Notamacropus eugenii: one gene and its partner. The protein of the gene in region 1 purifies or fractionates together with the protein of each later gene. This does not show direct contact. Links are inferred from orthologs where the notes say so. Each region holds a gene or a part of one and is shown in the gene's direction. Other genes may lie near its edges.

Region 1 (11,041 bases):
GCTAGTCCTGCTTTCCCGCTTTCCATCAAGACATATTATTTTTCATCATCTCTGACCCTTCAGACTTTGTATCCAATCATATTGTTTTCTACCTGTGATGTTTTCTGTTCTTTGTTCTTTTATACTTCCCAAAAGTTGTGAAGCCATTCCCATTGTGAAGGCTAGCAACCTTGTGGGCTTACAGAGGAGTTGAGAGGCCCATTTTATTGGTAATCACTAGTCTTACCTATAAGTTGAACATACTTGCAAGTTTGTGCCTCAGTTTACCTTAATTTCAATGAAGACGCCTTTTACTTTGTATCAACTCATTGGACATTGGAGAAACATTACATGTTGAACGATAATAGTTAAATTAATGATTGTAGACTACCTAACAGCTGTTAGAGCCCTTTCTACCCCTTCTCACCCCTACGTCTTTCTGCACTTTTTCTTTGGAAGTAGCTCTCAAAAGGTAGAGGGTTATTTTGTACTTTTATCTGGTTCATGACCTGGTGATTAGCCTTTCCAGACTTAGCTAGACTGACACTTGAAGAGTAAACAGTGTCTATTATTGAGTTCATACTTGAAGGTAGCAGTCAGATGGTGCCACAGTACACAGAGTATTAGACCTGGAGTCAGGAAGATCTGAGTTCAAATTCTCCCCCAGACCCTAATTAGCTATATGACACTGGGCTAGTCACTTAATCTTTGTCTGCTTTTGTTTCCTCATCTGAAAAAAAATAATAGCTGACAATTATATAGTGCTCGGCACTGTTGTAAGCATTTTATGATTATTATCTCATTTGATCTTCACAACAACCCTGGGAGGTAGGTATTTCCATTTTACAGATGAGGAAACTGAGGCAAACAGAGGTTAAGAGGTTTGCCCAGGGTCTGAGAATAATAATAACACCTTCCTCACCAGGTTGCTGTGAGGATCAAATGAGATAATATTTATAAAATGATTTGCAAACCTAAAAGCAGAATATAAATAGTAGCAGCAGAAGTAATGATAGTAGTAGTAGTAGTGATAGTAGTAGTAGTAGTAATATAGTGATAGCAATAGTAATAGTAGTAGTAGCAGTGATAGTAATAGTTGTAGTATAGTGTTGGCAATAGTAGTTGTAGTAGTAATGATAGTAATAGTAGTAGTAGTATGGGGGTAGTAGTAGTGATAGCAACAGTAGTAGTAGTGATAGTAGTAGTAGTAGTGGTAGTGATAGCAATAGTAGTAGTGATAGTAGTAGGTAGTAGTGATAGCAATAATAGTAGTAGTAGTAGTGATAGCAATAGTAGCACTAGAAGCAGCAGCAGCAGAAGTAGTAGCAATTATTATTATTATTGTTACAACTACCTCTACGATCCTCTCAGCTTGGCAGGAACTGCCTGAGCTTGTGCTCAGCTAAGAAAACCCACCTCTATAACACAACTTGGCTTCAGAGTATGACTTCTGTGGAGCTGCACAAAGTAGAGAATCAAACATTTGAATGAAAACTATGAAGAAAAAACTGACAGGAACTTATGATTGATTGGAATGTGTAGACCAAGGAAAACTGGGGAATCAGTCAATCAACAAGCAATGTGCCAGGCACTGAGCACATTTAGTAAGAACTTTGGATACAAAGAAATGCAACAAACAGTCCTTGCTCTCAAGGAGCTCACAATCTAGTGGGAAGACAACATGCAAACAACTATATACTAATAAGATATAGACAGGATCAATTGTAGTTAATCAATACAGGGAAGGCAGTTTGCCTCAATTCCTCATCTGTAAAATGAACTGGAGAAGGACATGGCAAATCTCTCCAGTATCTTTCCCAAGAAAACCTCAACTGGGGTCACAAAGAGTCGGATACAACTGAAAAATGACCAAACTAATTTGCACTAAGGGTGAATCAAAGAGAAGATTCTTGTAGGAGATGGAATTTTAGCTGGGACTTGAAGGAAGTCAAGTAATTTGGGAGGCACAGAGGAGGAGAGAGAGCATTCCATGCATAGGAAACAGGCAGTGAAAATGCCCAGAGGAAGAGCAAGGAGGCCAGCGTCACTTGATCACAGGGTGTAAGAAGACTGAACAGGTAGGAGGGGGCCAGGAAAAGATAACTTACAAGTTTTCAAGCATTAATAACCACAAAAATAAAGGTCCCTCAAACAGAAAAAGGGGAGTAAGAAAGGGAAACCAGTGTATGGGGAAAAGATAATGTGCTCAGTTTGGAATGTGCTGAGCTTGAGGAAAAGGCAGAACTGATTTCCATTAGGCATTTAATCCACTGGGCTATACATTTGTAATGGTGACCGATCAATGAGTACTGGCACGATGAGCATGTGAGGAGCATGCTGAAGACATGGTGTGAAAGGTCCAACTGTCTGCTTCAGAGTATGTGCACAAGGTCGTATGACCCTTTTCGACCCACTCTGAATGCCTTTTAGTTGGCTACTGAATCAGAATGGGGCATGTATATAAAAGATTCCCAGCTCTAGGCCCCTTTCTGGGCTTGGATTGAAATCAGATATGCCGTAGACCTCTGGGTTCTGGAAGAGGTCTTAAGCTTTTCCTAACCCAGACAGTATGTGGCCTCTGACGGCTGAGTGTCTCTGCATTTTACTTCTTGGCATGTGTTTTCTTTTACTCTTAAATGGAGTTTTGGAGATGCTTCAAAAGTAGTAGGAGCCAAAGTCCAGTCCCAAGAGTTCATGCTAAATTTGTGAGCTGCCTCAAAAGGAGTAACTGGATCTTAGCTCAGCAGGAGATTAATCCCATAGCCAAGGCTCTGGATTGCTCATTCAGAAATGAATTTGGTGGGGAGATGAAAAACTTGTAAAAGCTTTTGGTTTGAGCTCATTCTCCCTAGGAATTGAGGTGGTATAGGTGAGAATATGTCCACAGGATTAAGAGAATGGTTGGTACTTGTATTCTTGCTTTATTTGAGCAGTATGTATCCCTTTGTAAAAGCTAATTGATATTAATTGGTTAAAGGAAACTGGGCTGCTAATCACCAGTGACCCATATTGGGGAGAATACACCCAAATGAAGACTTGGGCCAATAGCATTGAGAAGTATCCCCTAACTCCTCAGAGGTATCCCTAGAATCCTGAGGGGAAGATGTAGTCTTGCTTTGGGGCAGTCAATTCTTCAGCATAAGTGAAAGTCAGGATGAGGACTCTCAGTTTAAATGGGTCACATGCATATTCTTCAGGTACACAGCTAGGACTAGACATGGGATGGAGCTTTTGGTGTTACAGGTGGATGATAAAGGCCTGGAAAGTGATTCTATTTTCTGAGGAAGTGAACATTAAAAAGCATAAGAGGTCTGAGGTCTAAATCTGAGGTAATGCTCATATTTAGGGTCACATGGGAGAGAGAAGGGAATAAAGGACAAGCAACTGGATGGGAAGAGACACAATATATTGACTTCTTTAGGAAATCTTTCTTGAATATTCCAGTTGTTCTATCTCTCCCTCTTCTGAACTCCTATATCATACCTGATTATCCCAAACAGCTGCATGAGGACAGAGGCTTTTTCTTATTTAAACATTTTTTTCTTATTTTTGATCTTATTAAAAAAAAAAAAATCCTCCCAGCCCCAGCACAGGGCTCTCTTAACACACATTAGGAGTTAAATAAGTGTTTGTTGAATTAAAACTGATAGGGATAGGGACTAGATTTATGATTTCACTGGTGTGCAGAGCTCCCATTTCCCATTGAGTAATAAAATGAAACCATTCATTAATTAGCACAGGGTTTTACACAAAACTGGAGTTAAATATTTGTGGAATTGAATGAAGTAATTTTTTTTTTTTTGGTGAGGCAATTAGGTTTAAGTAACTTGCCCAGGGCCAAACAGCTAGTAAATGTCAAATATCTGAGTTTGAATTAGAACTCAGGTCCTCCTGACTCTGTGATGTGTTCTGGCCACTCATCTGCTTTAAAAAATAGAAAACTGGGAAAGCTAGGTGGTACAGTGGATAGAACACCTGCCCTGGAGTTAAGAGGACCCGAGCCAGACAACTAGTAGCTGTGGGACCATAGATAAGTCATGTAATCTGATTGCCTAAAAACAAAATTGCCACTTACAGGAGAGTTTCAAAGAGATTCAGGGTGGTATTGGATGCAGAGATACATTTGGATACAGAGATTCAGGCTGGTATTGAGAGATTCATGGTGGTATTGGATACAGAGATTCAGAGTGCTATTGAGAAATTCATGGTGGTATTGGATACAAAGATTCAGGGTAGTATTGGACACAGATTCAGGGTGGCATTGGATACAGAGACTCAGGGTGGTACTGGATACAGAGGTTCAGGGTGGTATTGGACACAGATTCATGGTGGTATTGGACACAGATTCAGGGTGGTATTGGATACAAAGATTCAGGATGGTATTGAGAGATTTTGGGTGGTATTGGAAACAAAGATTCAGGGTAGTATTGGATACAGATTCAAGGTGGTATTGGACACAGATTCAGGGTGGCATTGATACAGAGACTCAGGGTGGTACTGGATACAGAGACTCAGCGTGGTATTGGACACAGATTCAGGGTGGTATTGGACACAGATTCAGGGTGGCATTGGACACAGCCTCAGGGTGGCATTAGATACAGAGACTCAGTGTGGTATTGGACACAGATTCAGGGTGGCATTGGACACAGACTCAGGATGGTACTGGATACAGAGATTCAGGGTGGTATTGAGAGATTTTGGGTGGTATTGGATACAAAGATTCAGGGTAGTATTGGATACAGACAGATTCAAGGTGGTATTGGACACAGCCTCAGGGTGGCATTAGATACAGACTCAGCATGGTATTGGACACAGATTCAGGGTGGTATTGGATACAGATATTCAGGGTGGTATTGGATAAAGAGACTCAGGGTGGCATTAGATACAGAGACTCAGAGTGGTATTGGACACAGATTCAGGGTGGCATTGGACACAGAGATTCAGGGTGGTATTGGACATAGAGATTCAGGGTGGCATTGGACACAGACTCAGGGTGGTACTGGATACACAGATTCAGGGTGGCACTGGACACAGACTCAGGGTGGCATTAGATACAGAGACTCAGGGTGGTATTGGACACAGATTCAGGGTGGCATTGGACACAGATTCAGGGTGGCATTGGACACAGACTCAGGGTGGTACTGGATACACAGACTCAGGGTGGCATTGGACACAGACTCAGGGTGGTACTGGATATACAGATTCAGGGTGGCATTGAACACAGACTCAGGGTGGCATTAGATACAGAGACTCAGGGTGGTATTGGACACAGATTCAGGGTGGCATTGGACACAGATTCAGGGTGGCATTGGACACAGACTCAGGGTGGTACTGGATACACAGATTCAGGGTGGCATTGGACACAGACTCAGGGTGGTACTGGATACACAGACTCAGGGTGGTACTGGATACAAAGATTTAGGGTGGCATTGGACACAGATTCAGGGTGGCATTGGACACAGACTCAGGGTGGTACTGGATACACAGACTCAGGGTGGTATTGGATACAAAGATTCAGGGTGGCATTGGACACAGACTCAGGGTGGTACTGGATACACAGACTCAGGGTGGTACTGGATACACAGATTCAGGGTGGCATTGGACACAGATTCAGGGTGGTATTGGACACAGACTCAGGGTGGTACTGGATACAAAGATTCAGGGTGGCATTGGACACAGACTCAGGGTGGTACTGGATACACAGATTCAGGGTGGCATTGGACACAGATTCAGGGTGGCATTGGACACAGACTCAGGGTGGTACTGGATACACAGACTCAGGGTGGTACTGGATACAAAGATTTAGGGTGGCATTGGACACAGATTCAGGGTGGCATTGGACACAGACTCAGGGTGGTACTGGATACACAGACTCAGGGTGGTATTGGATACAAAGATTCAGGGTGGCATTGGACACAGATTCAGGGTGGTACTGGATACACAGACTCAGGGTGGTATTGGATACAAAGATTCAGGGTGGCATTGGACACAGACTCAGGGTGGTACTGGATACACAGACTCAGGGTGGTACTGGATACACAGATTCAGGGTGGCATTGGACACAGATTCAGGGTGGCATTGGACACAGACTCAGGGTGGTACTGGATACACAGATTCAGGGTGGCATTGGACACAGACTCAGGGTGGTACTGGATACACAGACTCAGGGTGGTACTGGATACACAGACTCAGGGTGGTATTGGATACAAAGATTCAGGGTAGCTCAGTAGCGAAGGGTGGGAGAGCGCTAAAGTGAGGGAAGGCATCGAAGCCGGACCGAGGCGGCTGCGTGCGGTCCGGACAAATCAGTCACCCTGGGCTCAGTGTCCGGGGCTCACACGGTTACGCACGTGCGGCGCTCTCGGTTCCAGGGCTTTCTCCACGGCCGCGCCCCCAGCAAGGGCAGGGGGCTGTACCTGACACTGGCCTTTGAAGAATTCCAAATCCCGCGCTCTTTCTACCACCCACCGACTGGGGCAGAGAAAGACCGGCCAGGGCAGGCGCACGCGCAGTCGCACCGGCCCCCCGGCCCGGCCGGGCTTTGAACCTCCTCGTGCTTCCTGGGGGCTCACTGGCAACCGCAGCCGCCCGCCCCCGAAACCCGCCGGGACCGCTGAAGGGAGGAAGAAGGGGAAGGAAGAGCGCAGAGAGGAGAGCGAGAGGCGGGACGCAGCAGCGGGGAGGGGCAGGAGCGGAAGGAGCGAGAGACACTTTCTACTCTGTGATTGGGTGATCGGAGGCACGAGGGGCGGGGCTTCAGCGACCGCAGGCTCCTTAAGGGCGCGGTCATGTGATTGGGCCAAGATGGCTTTCCCCACGCTGTTCCTGCTGCTGCTGAGCGCGGCCCTCATCCGACGGCCCCCGCCAGCCTCAGCCTCCCCGCGGACCGAGCCTCCTCAGGAGCCGCTGCCGCTGGTCATCTGGCACGGGATGGGTGAGCCGGGCCGGGCCGGGCGGGGAACGCCAGTCGCGGGGGTGCTAAAAGGTTGTGCCGGCTCTCTTCCTTTGTGGAGGAAACGGGCACCCGGGCGAAGGCCCCCGGCCGGGAGTCAGGCATCCCGGGTGCCTGAACTGGCTCTGCCCCGGCCAGGCACTGCCCCTCTGGGGACCCCAACCCCTCCCGCCTCGGCAGCTCCGTAAGATTTCCTGGGCGCCTACCTGTCAGCAGCCTGGTCTTTGCCAGCCAGAGGCAGCTGCGCAAAGCGGGTGGAGTGATGGGACGTGGGTTCGAATCTAGCCTCTGACACTTTGGGCACTTGGCCGGTGTGCCCCTAGGCACACACGGGTGATCTTGGACTTAGACGTTGGTGGTGGTGGAAGGTGTCCAGCTCCCCACTCTGATCCGCAGACGATCGCAGAGGCTGAAATCTCAGAGCTGGGAAGGAGCATGGGGTCAAAGGTTTAGAACGGGTGGGGATCTTAGGGGCTGTCTGGTCCCACAGAATTCAGACTGGCTTCCTGATTCTAAGTCCAGGGTTCTCTGCAGCCTGCCAGGGGTCACTTAGTCCAGCATGTACCTTCAAGAGAATGGGCTCTGTAACGCCTGATCCTAAGACAAGCATTTCTTCTATAACACCTGTTGACCTTGGAGTCCTTTGTAGCCCCGATATACTGGGATCATAGAGTTAGAGGTCAGGAGCCAGAAGGGTCATGCAGTCCAACCCCTTCATTTTGCAGATGAAGAAACTGAGTCCCCGAAAGGTTAAGAGAGTTAACTAACAGAATGTTAGCTCTTTGAAGAAGGAAATGTATCTTTTCTTTATTTCTCAGTTTCATCACTTTGCATGGTGCTGGGCACATAGTTGGTGTTTAATAAATGTCTCTTGATTGGTTGATTAATGTACTATGCAGATTGCAAAGCTGAAATTTGAAAACCAGGTTTGGTGATTTCACATCCACAGTTCTATCTCCATACTTGTCCTTTCTGGGTTGACAGTCATTTTGGGGGGATGGAAAGGGGAAGTGAGAGCTGCCAATATACCTATAAATCTGTCAGAATTATGGATGTGAAAGAACTTTCCAGTCTCTAAATTGCTGTGCAAACATGAACTGGGATAGAATTATAATTTTATTGCTATATATCACAATTCTTCTAGATCTTTGGATGGGAAAAAATCCATTCCCTAGGGCTAATTTTCTGGTTAGGATCCTCTCTGGGGTTAACTAGGACAGAGTTCCCACCTAAAGTCTTTGCAGTTTTTCAGGACTACCAGAGAAGTCAGGGCCACTTCTGTACTGTAAGGAGAATATCAGTGGAGGAAGAGATGATTATCATTATTACCACCCCAGAAGCTCTAGATAGGAAAAGAATGTGCAGCTTAAGTGTCACATCTAACATGAAGCCTTTCCTGGTCTCAGTTCTAGGTGAATTTTCCTTTTCCCATCTCTCTTCCTTTTCTGACCTTTATACTCATCACATTCTAACTTATGGCTATTGATAAATGCCATATTTTCCTGCTAATTTGTAAGTCCATAGAACTTAGAGCTAGAAACAGCCTTAAAGCAGATGTTGGAAAGGACCATAGAAATCATTTAACCCAACAGACTCAGTTGTTAATGATATTAATAATAGTTACATTCATGTATCATGTTATGGTTTGCAAAATATAAGTACTTTGAATACTAAGTATAAAATACTAAGGTATGTCATCTTCATAATCAATTTATTAGTTTGTCTGTTTCTTCATTCTAGAGATGAGGAAACAGACTCAGAGCTTCTGTGATTTGCCCGAGCTAAAACAGGTGGTCGTAAGCAGAGCCGAGACGTGAATCAACATTCTCTACCTCCGAATGTCATTCTTGTTCCACTGCATCTCACTGAGGACAAGGACTAATGACATTTTTCATCCATAGTGCCTTGCACATAATTGTAATGATAAAATAATGTTTACATAGGGCTGTGAAGTCTACAAAGTTCTTTCTTCCAGTTATCTTGTGAAATAGGTGGTATAGTGCCACTAGGTAATGAGGAATAGTGGCTAGAGTGCTGGACATGGAGTCAGGAAGACTTGGTTTCAAATCCTGCCACAGATAATTGCTAACTATGTGACCCTGCTCCGTGCCTCAGTTTTCTGATCTGTAAAAAACAAGGGTAAGACTTGATGGCTTCCAAGGTCCCTTCTGTAATTTTATGACAATCCTTGTGAAGCAAGTCAATATTATACCCATTTTACAGATGAACCAACAGGCCTGCAGGAGAGAGGTGACTTGCTCCAAATTATAGGTAGAAAGTGGCAGGGCTGGGACTTGAACCCACATCTCCCTATCCCAAGGCTATTGTTCTGTCTGTTGTATATCTATAATGATTGTGTGGCTACATCATTGTTTCCCTGTTAAAGTGTTGTGGCTTCTGAAGCTCACAGATGATTCTATTTGTAACACCTAAAACTTCCCTTGTTTTCTTTCTTCTCCTGTCTAGGAGACAGCTGCTGTAACCCCCTGAGCATGGGGGCCATTAAAAAAATGGTTGAGCACAAAATACCAGGAATTTATGTTTTGTCTTTGGAGATTGGGAAGACTCTGATTGAGGTAATACATCCACAAAGCTAAGTCACTGAGGGACTTCTGTTAGACCAAGGAGCTCATGATAAATGTTCAGTTGAAAAGTGATTCATGTGGTTTCATTTTTTCTTATAGCACTCTTCCTGAGAAGATAATTTTATTGGGTCTTTCAATGGAACTTTCACTCTTAGTGACCTGAAGGAGGGACTCCTGGGTGTCTGCCAGGCTTTTGGAAGTATCTCTGTTCTCTTAATGTAGAAGGAAAGTGGTATTTATCTAGAATAAGAGAATCCCAGCCTGGCAGAGGCCATCTCTTGTCTACACTCCCCTCCCCCTTACTTTATAGATGAAGAAACTAAGCTTAAAGGGACCCAGGGACGTGTCTAAAGTCATATAACTAGTTAATAGCAAAGCATAACTTCAAAACTGAGGCTTAGAGAGGCTTTTAATAGTGCTATGACTGTGGAAACTTGGTTTTCATAAGCTCTTCCCTTTCCTCCTCCTCCCCCTTCCCTTTTCCTCCTCCTTCCTCTTCTGCTCTCCCTCCCCTCTCCTCTCTTACATCCCCTCCTCCTCCTTTCCTCTCCTCCCTTCTTCCTTTCTTCTTCTCTTCCTCTTCCTCTTTCTTTTTTTCTCCCTTCTCTCCTTTTCTTCCCTTCTATTTCCTCCTCTTCTCTTCTTTTCTCTGCTTTTTCCCTTCACCCTTTCCTTCCTACTTACCTACCCCTCTCCTCTTCTCTCCTATCCTCTCTTGTCTGTTTTTTCCTCTCCCCTCCCCTCCCCTCCCTTCTCTTCCTCTTCCTTGCCTCCCTTTTCCCCCCTCCCTTGTCTCTACCCCTTCCCTTCTTTCCTCCCCTCTCTTCTGTCCCTTTCTCTTCTTTTCTCTCCTCTCCCTCCTCTTCTATCCCCTTCCTTTCATTCCTCTCTCCTCTTCCCCTACCCCTTTCCTTTTTCCTTCCCTTCTCTTCCCCTCTCTTCTTCAGGATATGGAGAACAGCTTCTTCTTAAACGTGAATCACCAGGTGACTCTAGTGTGTGAGATGCTGGCCAAGAACCCCAAGCTGCAGCAAGGCTACAACGCCATGGGATTCTCCCAAGGTGGCCAGTTCCTGTAAGTCCCTTTCTCTCACCTCATGGGTAAAGGACTTTTTGGTATTTTTACAAAAATGGTAGCCTGTGTTCATTGTGACCAGGAATTGCAGGGTCCTTTACACGTGTGTTCTCATTTGAGCCTCACAGCAACCCAATGGCCCAGATACTACAGGTATAATTAGGCCCATTGTACAGATGAGGAAACCAAGGCTCCACAAGGTTAAGTGTCTTGCCCAGGGTCTCATAGCTGGTAAGTGTCTGAGGCGGGGTTCAGACTTAGGACTTCAGAGCTGTCTGTGCTGTATGTCACTGCGCCTCTAGTATCTGTTTTTATGTATTTATTTATTTGTTTTTATTTTTTATTTTTAATGTTCTACAATCACTACCATAAACCTTAGATTTTTTCCCCCTACCTGCCCCCCCCACCCTCCTCTCTCCCCAAGACAGCATATAATTCTATATAGGATCT
Region 2 (10,969 bases), on another chromosome or scaffold:
CTCAAAAATTGGCAGTGAATACAAACCAGGTCTTGTTTTATTATTTTGTTGATTGTCTAGCCTTAAGGAGGTGCTAATAATTCAGATTAACCATAAAAATATATACATACATTTCCCCCCAGAACATATTTGTTAAGCATTTCCCAGCACACTTCTGCCCTCATGCCACTATTAGTCCATCCTTAGACATGGTGCCAGAGAAAGCTGTATATTCTCCTCATTCTCTAAAAGTAGGGTAGCCAATGATCTGGGTTTCTTGGGGGCCTGGGAAACAAGCAAGAGAGGACAGAGAAATGGGAATTTCCTTTGATAAAACTCCAATTACCTCTTTGGTAATACTGTAATATTTCTGACTGTTGTCAGACATTGTAGGTGTCCCTCCCCAACATAGCCACAGCAGAACAGCTGGAAAACAAGGCAGCAATAATAAATAGGTCATGTGACTAGAGTGAAGCCAAGATAGCTTGTAACTTTTGTTAAAATATGGTTGGATTTTCTTTGCTTCAACGCCAGCCTCTCCTTTAAAGAGAGGTAGCACACCCACAATGACGTATCATCCTTGGTAGAGTACAATAAGACTGCATTTGATCTTTCAGAATCTAGGTTTAGATCTCAAATCTGTTATTTATTAGCTGTGTAACCCTAAGTAGATCATTTGACCTTTCTGGGCATGTTTCGTTACCTGTAAAATGAAGAGTTGGGACTGGATCAGGAGTTCTTCATCCTTTTTTGGTCATGTATCCCTCCAACAGTCTGGTGAAGCCTAAAAACCCCTTCTTAACATAATGTTTTAAATGCACAAAATAAAATACAGAGGATTACAAAGATTCACTCCAGGTGTCCTTGGATGATTTCTAAAATCTTTTTTTAAACCTTTAGCCTATGAATGCAAAAGGTACAAGTTTGACCTGCAGCCTTCAGGGGTTGCTGAGAAGTTAGTTAGAGCAGCTTTGTAGTAAAAGCAAAAGTGAAGCATTAATTACATATAATAATCTGACTTCACCTGGGTGCACAGCATTTCCACTTAGCTCTTTGCTTTCTCTCTGGTGGCCTCGTGAGACAGCACTTTTGGGACTCCCATCTGACAAGTAGAAATGAGTACAAATAAAGCTCTCCTCTTTCTCTGGTGGGGAGCAGGGAGCCTTGAATAGTCTTATGGGTCTGGATTTATGCTTTCTTTGGCATAAGCCTCCCTCTATGAACTTGTAGATGCAAGTCTGGTGCAACTGGCAAGCATTGTAACCTGAGGACACTGAGAAATACTGAAATGGTTTGCTCAATATCATCCAGCCAGAATATGTCAGTAGAGGGACTGGTCTCTCTGAATCCCAGGTGTGCTCTCTATTATGCTACATTCCTAGAATGTCAGGGTTAGTAAGGCAGTCCACAGGTATTCTTCAAGCACTTAAAATATGCCAGGCGCTGTGCTGAAGAGAATACAAAGAAAGGTAAAAATGCTGTTTCCCTCGTAGAGAAACTGTATCTTAATACAAATTCCTTGAGAGTAGGAAGTTTCATTCTTTGTATTTTTAACTCCAGAGCCTAGCACCATGTCTGGCACATAGTAGACACTTATAAATGCTTACTGGCTGATTGATTAAAAAAATAAAAGCTCTTATTCATGTCAGACAAGTTACTTATGTGTCCAAGGGGAAAAATAAAAATGGGAACCAAGTCTCCTGGATCAATAAAACCAAACCTCTGTGTCCCTTGATTATACAGCATGACACCTTTAGTGAACTTTAACAGACATACTCCATGCTCCAAATGTATGACCTTGAAACTTAGATGTAGTTAGGGAGAATAGCAGGCTCCCCAGCTGCCTTTCTTGACCTTCTGTACCCAGCACAGTCAGACTAATGGAATAAATAACTACCAACACTGGGTATCATTCTTGGTTGTTTTTTGTTTTGGGGGGTTTTTTTGCTCATCTTGGGAAGAAGAATCTTTCCTTACCCCAAGGCTCAGTTAGGTGGGATACTGAATGAGGTAGAAAGGAATGGGAAATCAGTTTTGTTTATTGACTCCAAAACATGAAGAAGAATTCTTTCCTGAAACTGTTGGCCAAGGCCAAGACATTTATAAAGGCTCCTATGCCTGCCTGCTTTCAGCAAATATCCCATTTTTCTCCCAATATATTTTTATTTTGTTAAACATTTCCCAATTACATGTAAATAAATTTTTAACATTTATTTTTAAAATTTTTGAGTTCAAAATTCTTCCTTTCTCTCCTTCTTGAGAAGGCAAGCAATTTGATATATGTTATACATATGAAGTCAAGAAAAACACATTTCCATGTTAGTCATGTTGCAAAAAAAGAAAAAGACCAAAAAATCCAAACAAACAAAAAATCAAATTCTAAGAAAATTAAAGTAAAAAATTATGCTTCAATCTACATTCAGACTCCATCAGTTCTCTCTCTGGAGGTGAATAGCATTTTTCATCATAAGTCCTTTGTAATTATCTGGGATCATTACACTGATCTGAATAACCAAGTTATTCACAATCATGCTTTTATTATGTACAATGATCTCCTGCTCAATTTTTGGATCAGTTCATATAAGCCTTTCCATATTTTTCTGAAACTATCTTGCTCATCATTTTTTATAGTGCAATAGCATTTCATCACAATCATATACCCCGCTTTGTTCAGCTGATTCCTAGTTGATGGGCATTACTTTGATTTCCAATTCTTTGCCACCACAAAAAGAGCTGCTATAAATATTTTTGTACTGTTTGTACCGTAAAATTTAAAACTGATTTTAATTATATTTTAAAGAATCTATTTAAAGAATCCTGTAATTACTCAGAATTCAATTCTGTTCTGAATTAAATCTTCACCCTTGTATTGTCTACCTTTGTAACCTCATCCACTACTCACTTAAGTTCAGGGGTGTATGAGGTGTTTCAGGAGGACCAGCCTCAATGGTGTGAGGGCTTGCTGAGCCCTTTTCAGAGCTACTCCACCAACTTTCGTGTCCACCTTTCACCTTTTACTTAGCTATCACGTAGGGCTCCAAGAAGCTGTAGAATCCACAAAGGGCCACCCACTACCAAATTGGGCAGATGGGCCAATCCAGTTTGTGGGTAACCCAAGGGCCTCAAACCTGTGGGTGAATGATAGGGATGCCTACCCTAAGCATGTAAACTCTTCCTTGGCAAAATAGGCAGATGAGAACAATTTGTTCAGCCATGAAGGCAGCTGAAGCAGTCCCTTAAAGTGAAGAACTCAGATCTTGGTTAGACATTGAAGATTCCAAAGTAATCCACTACATCTCCACCACCGCCAGTCTTCCTGATTTTTATCTAGCCACTGGCCTATGATGACTCAGGAGGAGAGGGTGAGGTTGATGACTTTGTGCAACTCTATCTCATTTAAATCAAATTCACCCAAGATTCAAGTTATTGGTCCTCTTAAAAAGCAAAAGGAAAACAATTCAGATTCAAGTTGATTCAAGTCTGTAGGCTAACCCTTTCAAGTTAGGATTGCTTTTATCTCCCCAAAAGGAAGAAATGAGAAGGAACTGAGGTGATTCAACCCACCTCCTCTTTAGAAGATAATACACTTAGAGCACCGGAAATTTTTCTCTGTCATCTTGTCAATTGTTATAAAAGACCCTGTTAGCCCTCACTCAGGGTCTTTGGTCATTGAGAGAGGCCATTGACCCAATTTATTGGGTACTGCTTGCCTAACTACTAAATGTATCATGTTTGGGATCTTGTTTCTCAGTTTATCTTGATTTCAATCATAACAGTACATATAAGTTCTTTTCTTTTTTCTTTGATCTCTTTGGGATACAGACCTAAAAATGATATTCCTGGGCCAAAGAGTATATAGGCCTTTGGGAGTAGTTTCAAATTGCTCTCCAGAATGGTTGCATCCCTTCACAACTCTACCAACAGTTCATTAGTGTCCCAATTTTCCCACTTCGCCTCCAACATTTGTCATGCTCCCCTTCTGTCATATTAGGCAATCTGATAGGTGTGAAGTGGTACCTCAGAGTTGTATCAATTTGCATTTCTCAAATCAATAGTGATTTAGAGCATTTTTTCATGACTATGGATAGCTTTGATTTCTTCTTCTGAAGACTTCCTGTTCATACCCTTTGACCGTCTATCAAATGAGAATGACTTATATTCTTATAAATTTGATCTAGTTCTCTATATATTTGAAAAATAAGACCTTTGTCAGAGAAACTTGCTGTAAAATTTTTCTTCAATTTCCTGCTTCCCTAGGTATCCCAGTCTTAATTAAGGAGGTGAAAGGTTATTTGTATTTGGGAACCCTTCTCAAGTTTCCTTTGGCTGTACTATCTGTCCCAGATATACATGCTGATAGGCAAGTACTATAGGTTGTCCAGCCAAATTTATGTTGTAATCTGGGTAAAAGGTGCTCTTCTTCCACTTGGCCTTTCTGGTATAAATAGTCCAGTCAGACTTCTTTGACTGATTATTGGGCTGCCTATTGGAGTTCTGCCTCTAATAGATTCTGGTCATGTGACCAGACAAGTTTACGTCTCAGTGTCTTTGATAACTCTAAGACAAGCAGTTACAGAGGAGTTTCCTCAATGAAAGCATTTTTCACAGGAGAGCTCCCCAAAATGATGAAAAAAAAATCTGTTTTCTCCTTCGCACACTGAACATACACAGTTCCTTCAGCTGATCATGTCCAATTCCCTCCTCCATCCGAACTGCCAGACTTCTTGTTTCAGCTTGTTCACGGGGTTCCTAAAATACAGCATCCAGAACTGGACACGGTACCAGTGCAAGCGCTGCCAGCTCCCTCCCTCCGGACACCAGACTTCTCTTGGTGCGGGCCAAGGTTGCACTCCTTTGGCTGCTATGTCATACTGTGGATTTAGCCACATGACAGGGCTGCGCATGAGGGAAATAGCTTAGAAGAGTACACAAGTGTGCAGAGTGGGCTGGGGAGAAATTGGAGACAGAGAATTTAGAGGGCTACTGAATCAGCCAAGAAGAAGAGCCTGAAATGGGGAGGTGGCGGAAAGGGGGACTCAATGGAGACGGGGTAGGAGAGAGGGGTCAAAGGTAACACCATGGTTTTAATCCTGGCTAACAGAGGGGAAGGCTCTGCCCTTGACAGAAAATGCCAAAAGGGTCAGTTTTGGCAAAAAAGTGACAAGTTCCAATTTAGACGTGTTAAATTTGGGGTACGGTAGGGCATCCTGTAGGCATTTGGAAGTGCACCCATTTAATAAGGGTGCCCCAAGGGAAAGACAGAGAAATTGGGAAACATGCCCTTTCCAACTCCATCAAGCACAGGCCTCAGGCAACAGGGGCAGTTGTTTCCCAAAGCGGAGAAGAACGTCTGGTGAGCCAGCCCAGAGAGCGGATGGACGCAGGAGAGGAAGGGGGTGCTGGTGTCATAACACAGACCAATAAGGAAACGTATCCCGGCCTTGAATGTTTAACTTAAACTGCTATCCCGGCCGGGGCTCACAACACTGACCCTGAATGAAAGAACAAGATCCCTCTTCAAGCTCCGGGTTCAAAAAGCCCCAAAGTCACAGGAGGCTGAGGGGCCTGCGGTCGTGGGGGCGGGGAAATCAAGCCCGAAAGGCTGGAGAGATCTCCGGGGCCTGGGAAGCGTGACGTCCGGGTGTTTAGACACATTCACCCAGTCCGTTACTTCTTCGGTACTTCTACGGCCAGCAAGGCTTCACAGACAAGGCGGCACCGGCCGTTACCCACGCGGGACGGTCTGCTTAATGCGCTAACTCGGAAAACCACCCGACTGCGCGCAGATCACTGCATCGCTGTCAAGTCTTTGGCCTGCCTGGCCCGGCTGCCCATGTGTACACTGGGAATGCGAATCCCATTCATTATCTGTGCCAGCCCTTTCAAAAGGAGGCGAGCTGGGAAGCCTGGGTGCTCCTAGGCCAGTGCCTCTCCAGCCTGTCTACGGGGGGGAAAGTGGGAAGAAAGTGTCGGGTCGCAAAGCCCTCACAGGAAAGCAACGAACGAGCCGGGCTGGCTAGAGTAAAGCGGGCGGCAGGCCCGGGAGGGTGCCCAGCGGGTGTTTATCTCTAGCTCCGGGCCAGGTCGCCCCTCCCTGACCCAGGAATCTGCACGCCCCGGCTCTCTCCGCCCCGAGCCAATCATGAAGGCGGGCGCACGCGCGCGCGCGGGAAACCGAAGGGGGAGTCAAGGAAGAGAGGGGGAGAGCTAAAATCCTGGGTCATTTGCACTAGCGCCACGCGGAGACCAGGGCTACCGACCCTCTTCTAATCTCCCAATCCCAGGCTTCCACAGGAGGCGGACGGGTGGAGTCCAGTGCTACAATCCAAAGGCCGTCACCGCCCAGTCTGGTCTATTCCTGGCCCACAGTCAGTCGGGAGGGCCTTCCCTCCTTGCTCTTGCTCCCTTCCCCCACCAGCTGTCTTCCATCCAATCAGCAGGCACTTCCTGCCCTCCCTTTTAGCCAATCCGCATCCTCCACGAAGAGTAGCCCTAGGGGGCGTGTGGAAAGGTATCTGGAGCGATGGTCAAACAGACCAATGGAGTGCTAGCACGATGGGAGAGAGGCAGGGTTGAGATGCAGCATTGACCAATCAGAAACTAGGGGTGGGGCCTGGGCAGGGCGCCGCGCGCGTTGGGGTTCGCTCGGCGTCCTCCTAGTCCTGAGGCACGTGACGTTCGCTTCGGGACGATCCGCTGCAGCATCCGAGGTGCTGGGCGTGGGGCGAGGGGGTGGGAAGTGGCGCCGGCGCCGGCCGCGAAGCACGAGGTGAGACGGACGCAGCTGCCCTAGTCCTGGGGACTTGGGCGGCCGGGGTCTGGGAGGTCGGTTCACGTCCGGGGCGGAGGAGGGCTGGCCTAGGCTGGCCAGGCTTGAGTGGTGGGGGAAGAGGCCTGAGGCCCTGGGGACCAGAGGACTGGTGGGAGTGACGCGGTCTGGGGCTGGGGACCGGGACTGCCCAGCGGAAAAGCAGGATGGAGCCCGGAGCCGGGCCCGTGCGAAGATTTGTGGGAGTGGAGAGGCCTGCGGAGGGAGGCCGGACGGGAGGTCAGCGGGGCCGGAGCCCGGAGGGGGGCGTGACCTCCGGGCCGGGCTCGCCGCAGCGGGCGGCGGCCCAGGCGCCTCGGAGGCCCGCGTGCCCCTTGTCTGTTCGCTCATCCCCAGGCGGGCGATGTGCGGCCTGGCCCAGCCCGAGTGGGAAGGCCTCTGGGGAGAGACAGGCCTGGGGCGGCGCGGGGGAGAGAGAAGCCATCTTCCTGCGTTTAGGCAAGAGCCCGGGAACGTACCGGACGAAGAAGGCAGACCCTCCCGGCCACGAGGTGGCTGAGATGTTGAGAAACCAACGATCTCGAAACGGGGGCAGGGTGGGAAAGGGGACCTCGCTCAGGGGGTAGGTAACTTGTTGGGAAAGAAACTGCTGGAAGACAGGTCGAAAAACTTGTTCCTAAGTGTTAGGAACGTGGACGTCTGTCTATATATAGTTCTTCATTTGTCTTTAGAGAGTCATAAGTATTCCAAAGAGTTTTGGGAATCTTATCTCTGGAAAGATAACCTTTCCAGGGCCGATCTCCTTGTTTTAGTGGCCCAGAGAAGGGAAGCAACTTGCCCAAGGTCACACAGCCAGGTGATTGGCAAAGCTGTATGGAACCTCATTCTTCTAGTACTTTCTTTGGTGGTCTTAAGCCCATACCATTTTCTAGGTCCCTTAAGCTCTGATACAGTACTAGAAGTAATATTTTCTCTGTTTCAGGCATTATATTCTCACTTTTAAATTCTGTCTTCCACGTGGGTGCTCCCCATGAGACTTTTCTGTCCTTCGACAAGCACTCTCTTGGCTATACCACTATCCAAGTTTCTAACCCTGTGCAGATAATTCCTCAATTTATAGTTCCAGACACATCTCCAAATGCCTAAGGAATATCTTCATTGGACATCCTACAGAGACCTAGACCTCAACATGTCCAAAAGCACATTAATTATATTTTTATCAAAACAGATTCCTGAGTACTGGTTTGTATCACCACTCTCTACCTAGTTTGCCCTGAGGGCAGCGGTCCTTTTGCACTGGCAGGTGTTTAACAAATGTTCGCTGAATTGATTAAAATTTTTGGAGTCAATCAGTGTGACTAGATCTTCTGGAATCCATCCATTCTTGAACTCTTAACCAGCCCTTTTCAATCTTTCATTCCAATGCCAAAATAACCTTTGAAAATGGATCTGGTCATGCCACACTTACAAACAAAAGATCTTTTTAAGTGGCTCTCTCCTGCCTACTGAGTAAACTTCAACAACTATTCCTGGTATCCAAGGCTCCAAGCCTGGAATCACCCCATCTACCTTTCCAAACATTATTCTTTAACATGTTCTGATCCAGCCAAACTGGACAACCTTGTGTTCCTGAGCGCAAATAGCACACTCAACTTTATGCCTTTGTTGAAGTTGACCCTCTTTTTCCCTAGTCATCTTGTGAAATCCTACCCAGCTTTTAAATCCCAATTTAAATGTTAACTTCATCCCAAATGCCTTCTTTGATAATAATCACATTCTCCTCAGACCTCACTGGCATTTTGCTTTCTAATTCTTCAAGGTTCTTATATGGTATTGTGTTGCAAATTCATATTGATGTTGTATTTCTCTAGATTTTTAGAGGATAGGCAGTATACCTTCTATATGTTTTATAACATCACATAACCATTGCTCTGTATTGGTAGGTGCTTAATAAATGTTTGGGGATGGGAACAAGCATTTATTGAGCACCTGCTATGTGTCAGGCACTGCACTAAACATTTTACACATATCTAGTTGAGATGTTGGGGAGAAGGCAGGGAAATTTAGCTGTTTACCATAAGCAAAGGCATTTATGCTGATGAAGAAAAATAAACTTGGAGTTGGTGGTAAATCTCACCATTGCCACTAAGGGACAATTTGGAAGGCAGTACTGACATGTGTCTACAATATGGGAGAGGAAAGAAATATGCTGGAAGGGAAACTCCAAATTACTTTTAATTTTGAATTAGATTTTTGTGTGGTTTTGAATATTGCTTTGGAATCGAGCTTTGTTGAATATTTTTTTAATGGGGTACTATTGTGATGATCTGTTACCAAATATAAAGTGGATCTTTCTTGAGCCATGGAGGCAGCTTTTCTTTTGATTCTTTCGCTCTAGTCCGGGCTTAAGAGTAATTGTCAATTTCATGGTAATTCTCACTTTGTGCAACCTAATGTAGTAGGTGAATGAATTATAAAGAAGCTTTGGTTAAAAAAAAAAAATCTTAAAACTGAAATTAAAGTGACATGTATTGGCACTACAGGTATATGTAGTAAGTTAAATTTGAGACTAGACAGGACTTTTTTCTGTTAAGATATTGGGGGATCTGAGTATTCTTTTCTGATTTTACTAATACACAAGTTGTATCTATTGTAAGTGCCTTTATCACAGTAAACGCAGATCCTTGGTATCAATATGGAGAGCAGACTTTTGTTTTTGATAACTAGCATTAAACTGCTGAATGATAATCTTACAAAGCCCACTGAGTTAAGTGGTTCTAGAAGAAAAATCCTTGCTGCTACTTTGTTACATAATATTAGGCTGTGCATTTGCCCCCCAAATGAGGCAATTTTGGTTGGTAAAGTGATAGCTAACACTAGGGCTGGGTAATGAATGGTGTTTATATGTAGCAGATTTCAGATTTAATCTGGGCCTCAGTGTCTTCTGTAGTTTGGAGAGATAACATGGAATTCAAACCAGATGATCGCTCCAAAAATATTTTGAAAAGCTTAAAATACTACTCAAATGTAAACTAAAATAAATCACTGTAAGATGTGTCAATACTCAGAAAAGAATAAAAACGCATAAACTATGTATGTGATCCAGTACATTGTATTGAAAACTAAATGTTAATAATAAGATGAAATAATACAATGTTTAGAATGACAATTCAGATAATTCTTTAGGTAAGTTTAAGTTTTACACTTTTAAAGAGTTTGCTTTTTAAAGAAATCAGAGACTCGAATATTTAGCATTACTATTTTATAAATGCAGTTGTAAAGAATAAACAACTGGGTCTTCTGTTATTGACAGAGGCCAAAAAAAGGGAAATAAAGAGGTAGTGGAAGTTATTCTTGCAATTGATGGGTGGTAGGAAAGACTAGGGAGAATCTGAGAAGTGCACATGGATTCAGCCTTCTTGATTTCCAGTGGAGTGAACAGAGGCCCAGAGGTAGGGGCATGACTTGCCAGGGTGTCCAAGCTAAGTGGCTAGATTCAAGCCTGCATCTTTTGATTGTCTTTTATGAATCATTTTTCCTCCTTTATTTTTAAAATAAAATTTTATTGATAGTTTCATGAGTATTTTTTACATCACCAGAATTTCACCAGTGTCCTCTAGCAAGTCATTCCATATAACTGTTTGGGGTGGGGGGAGTGTTGGTAAACACATCAAAAGAATCTGAAGTGCCATACCTTTGGACCTCTTCCCTTTACAAAGATTTGGGATTATCTTTACTTTGAAACTCGTTCTTTATAATTTGACAGCATTACTTTTGGGGGGAGGTTTGTTTTTTGGGTTCTTTCCATTTATATTTTTGTCACTGTTTTCTTGTGTTCACTCTGCATCACTTAATGTAAATCTTTCCATGTTTCTGCACCATCATAGTCATCATTTCTTACAACAGAGTAATATTCCATTGCATTCACATTAGCCATTCCCTAGTTGATGGTCATCTACTTTGTTAACAACTTTTTGCTTTCACAAAAAATGCTACTATAACCATTTTGGAGTATATGGAATACTACTTACCTCTTGGGTTTTGTTTTTGTTTTTTTGTTTCGTTAAGTGTTCACTTTTTTTTTTAGCCCTGAAGAAAGATTATGTTAAACTTTGGGAAATATTTTCACTTTGGGTCCAATTCTTTACTTATAATTACACAGAAAGGTATGTTTACTATTAACCTATTTATCCTTTCAACAGTGACCAAAAAATGATATGG

Evidence for each region.
Region 2: the proteins of PPT1 (region 1) and CANX purify together in Homo sapiens (affinity purification with mass spectrometry; 3 studies listed by BioGRID and IntAct, with this or other methods). This does not show direct contact. The link is inferred for Notamacropus eugenii from reciprocal best matches to the Homo sapiens genes PPT1 and CANX.

What each region holds. Positions count from the first base shown.
Region 1 is NC_092876.1:78,947,871-78,958,911, forward strand, and holds the start of PPT1 (palmitoyl-protein thioesterase 1), read left to right. Parts: upstream 1-6,725; 5' UTR 6,726-6,783; coding exon 6,784-6,913; intron 6,914-9,397; coding exon 9,398-9,507; intron 9,508-10,463; coding exon 10,464-10,591; intron 10,592-11,041. UniProt on the Homo sapiens protein: Has thioesterase activity against fatty acid thioesters with 14 -18 carbons, including palmitoyl-CoA, S-palmitoyl-N-acetylcysteamine, and palmitoylated proteins. In contrast to PPT2, PPT1 can hydrolyze palmitoylated proteins and palmitoylcysteine.
Region 2 is NC_092872.1:416,715,370-416,726,338, reverse strand, and holds the start of CANX (calnexin), read left to right. Parts: upstream 1-6,566; 5' UTR 6,567-6,748; intron 6,749-10,969. UniProt on the Homo sapiens protein: Calcium-binding protein that interacts with newly synthesized monoglucosylated glycoproteins in the endoplasmic reticulum. It may act in assisting protein assembly and/or in the retention within the ER of unassembled protein subunits.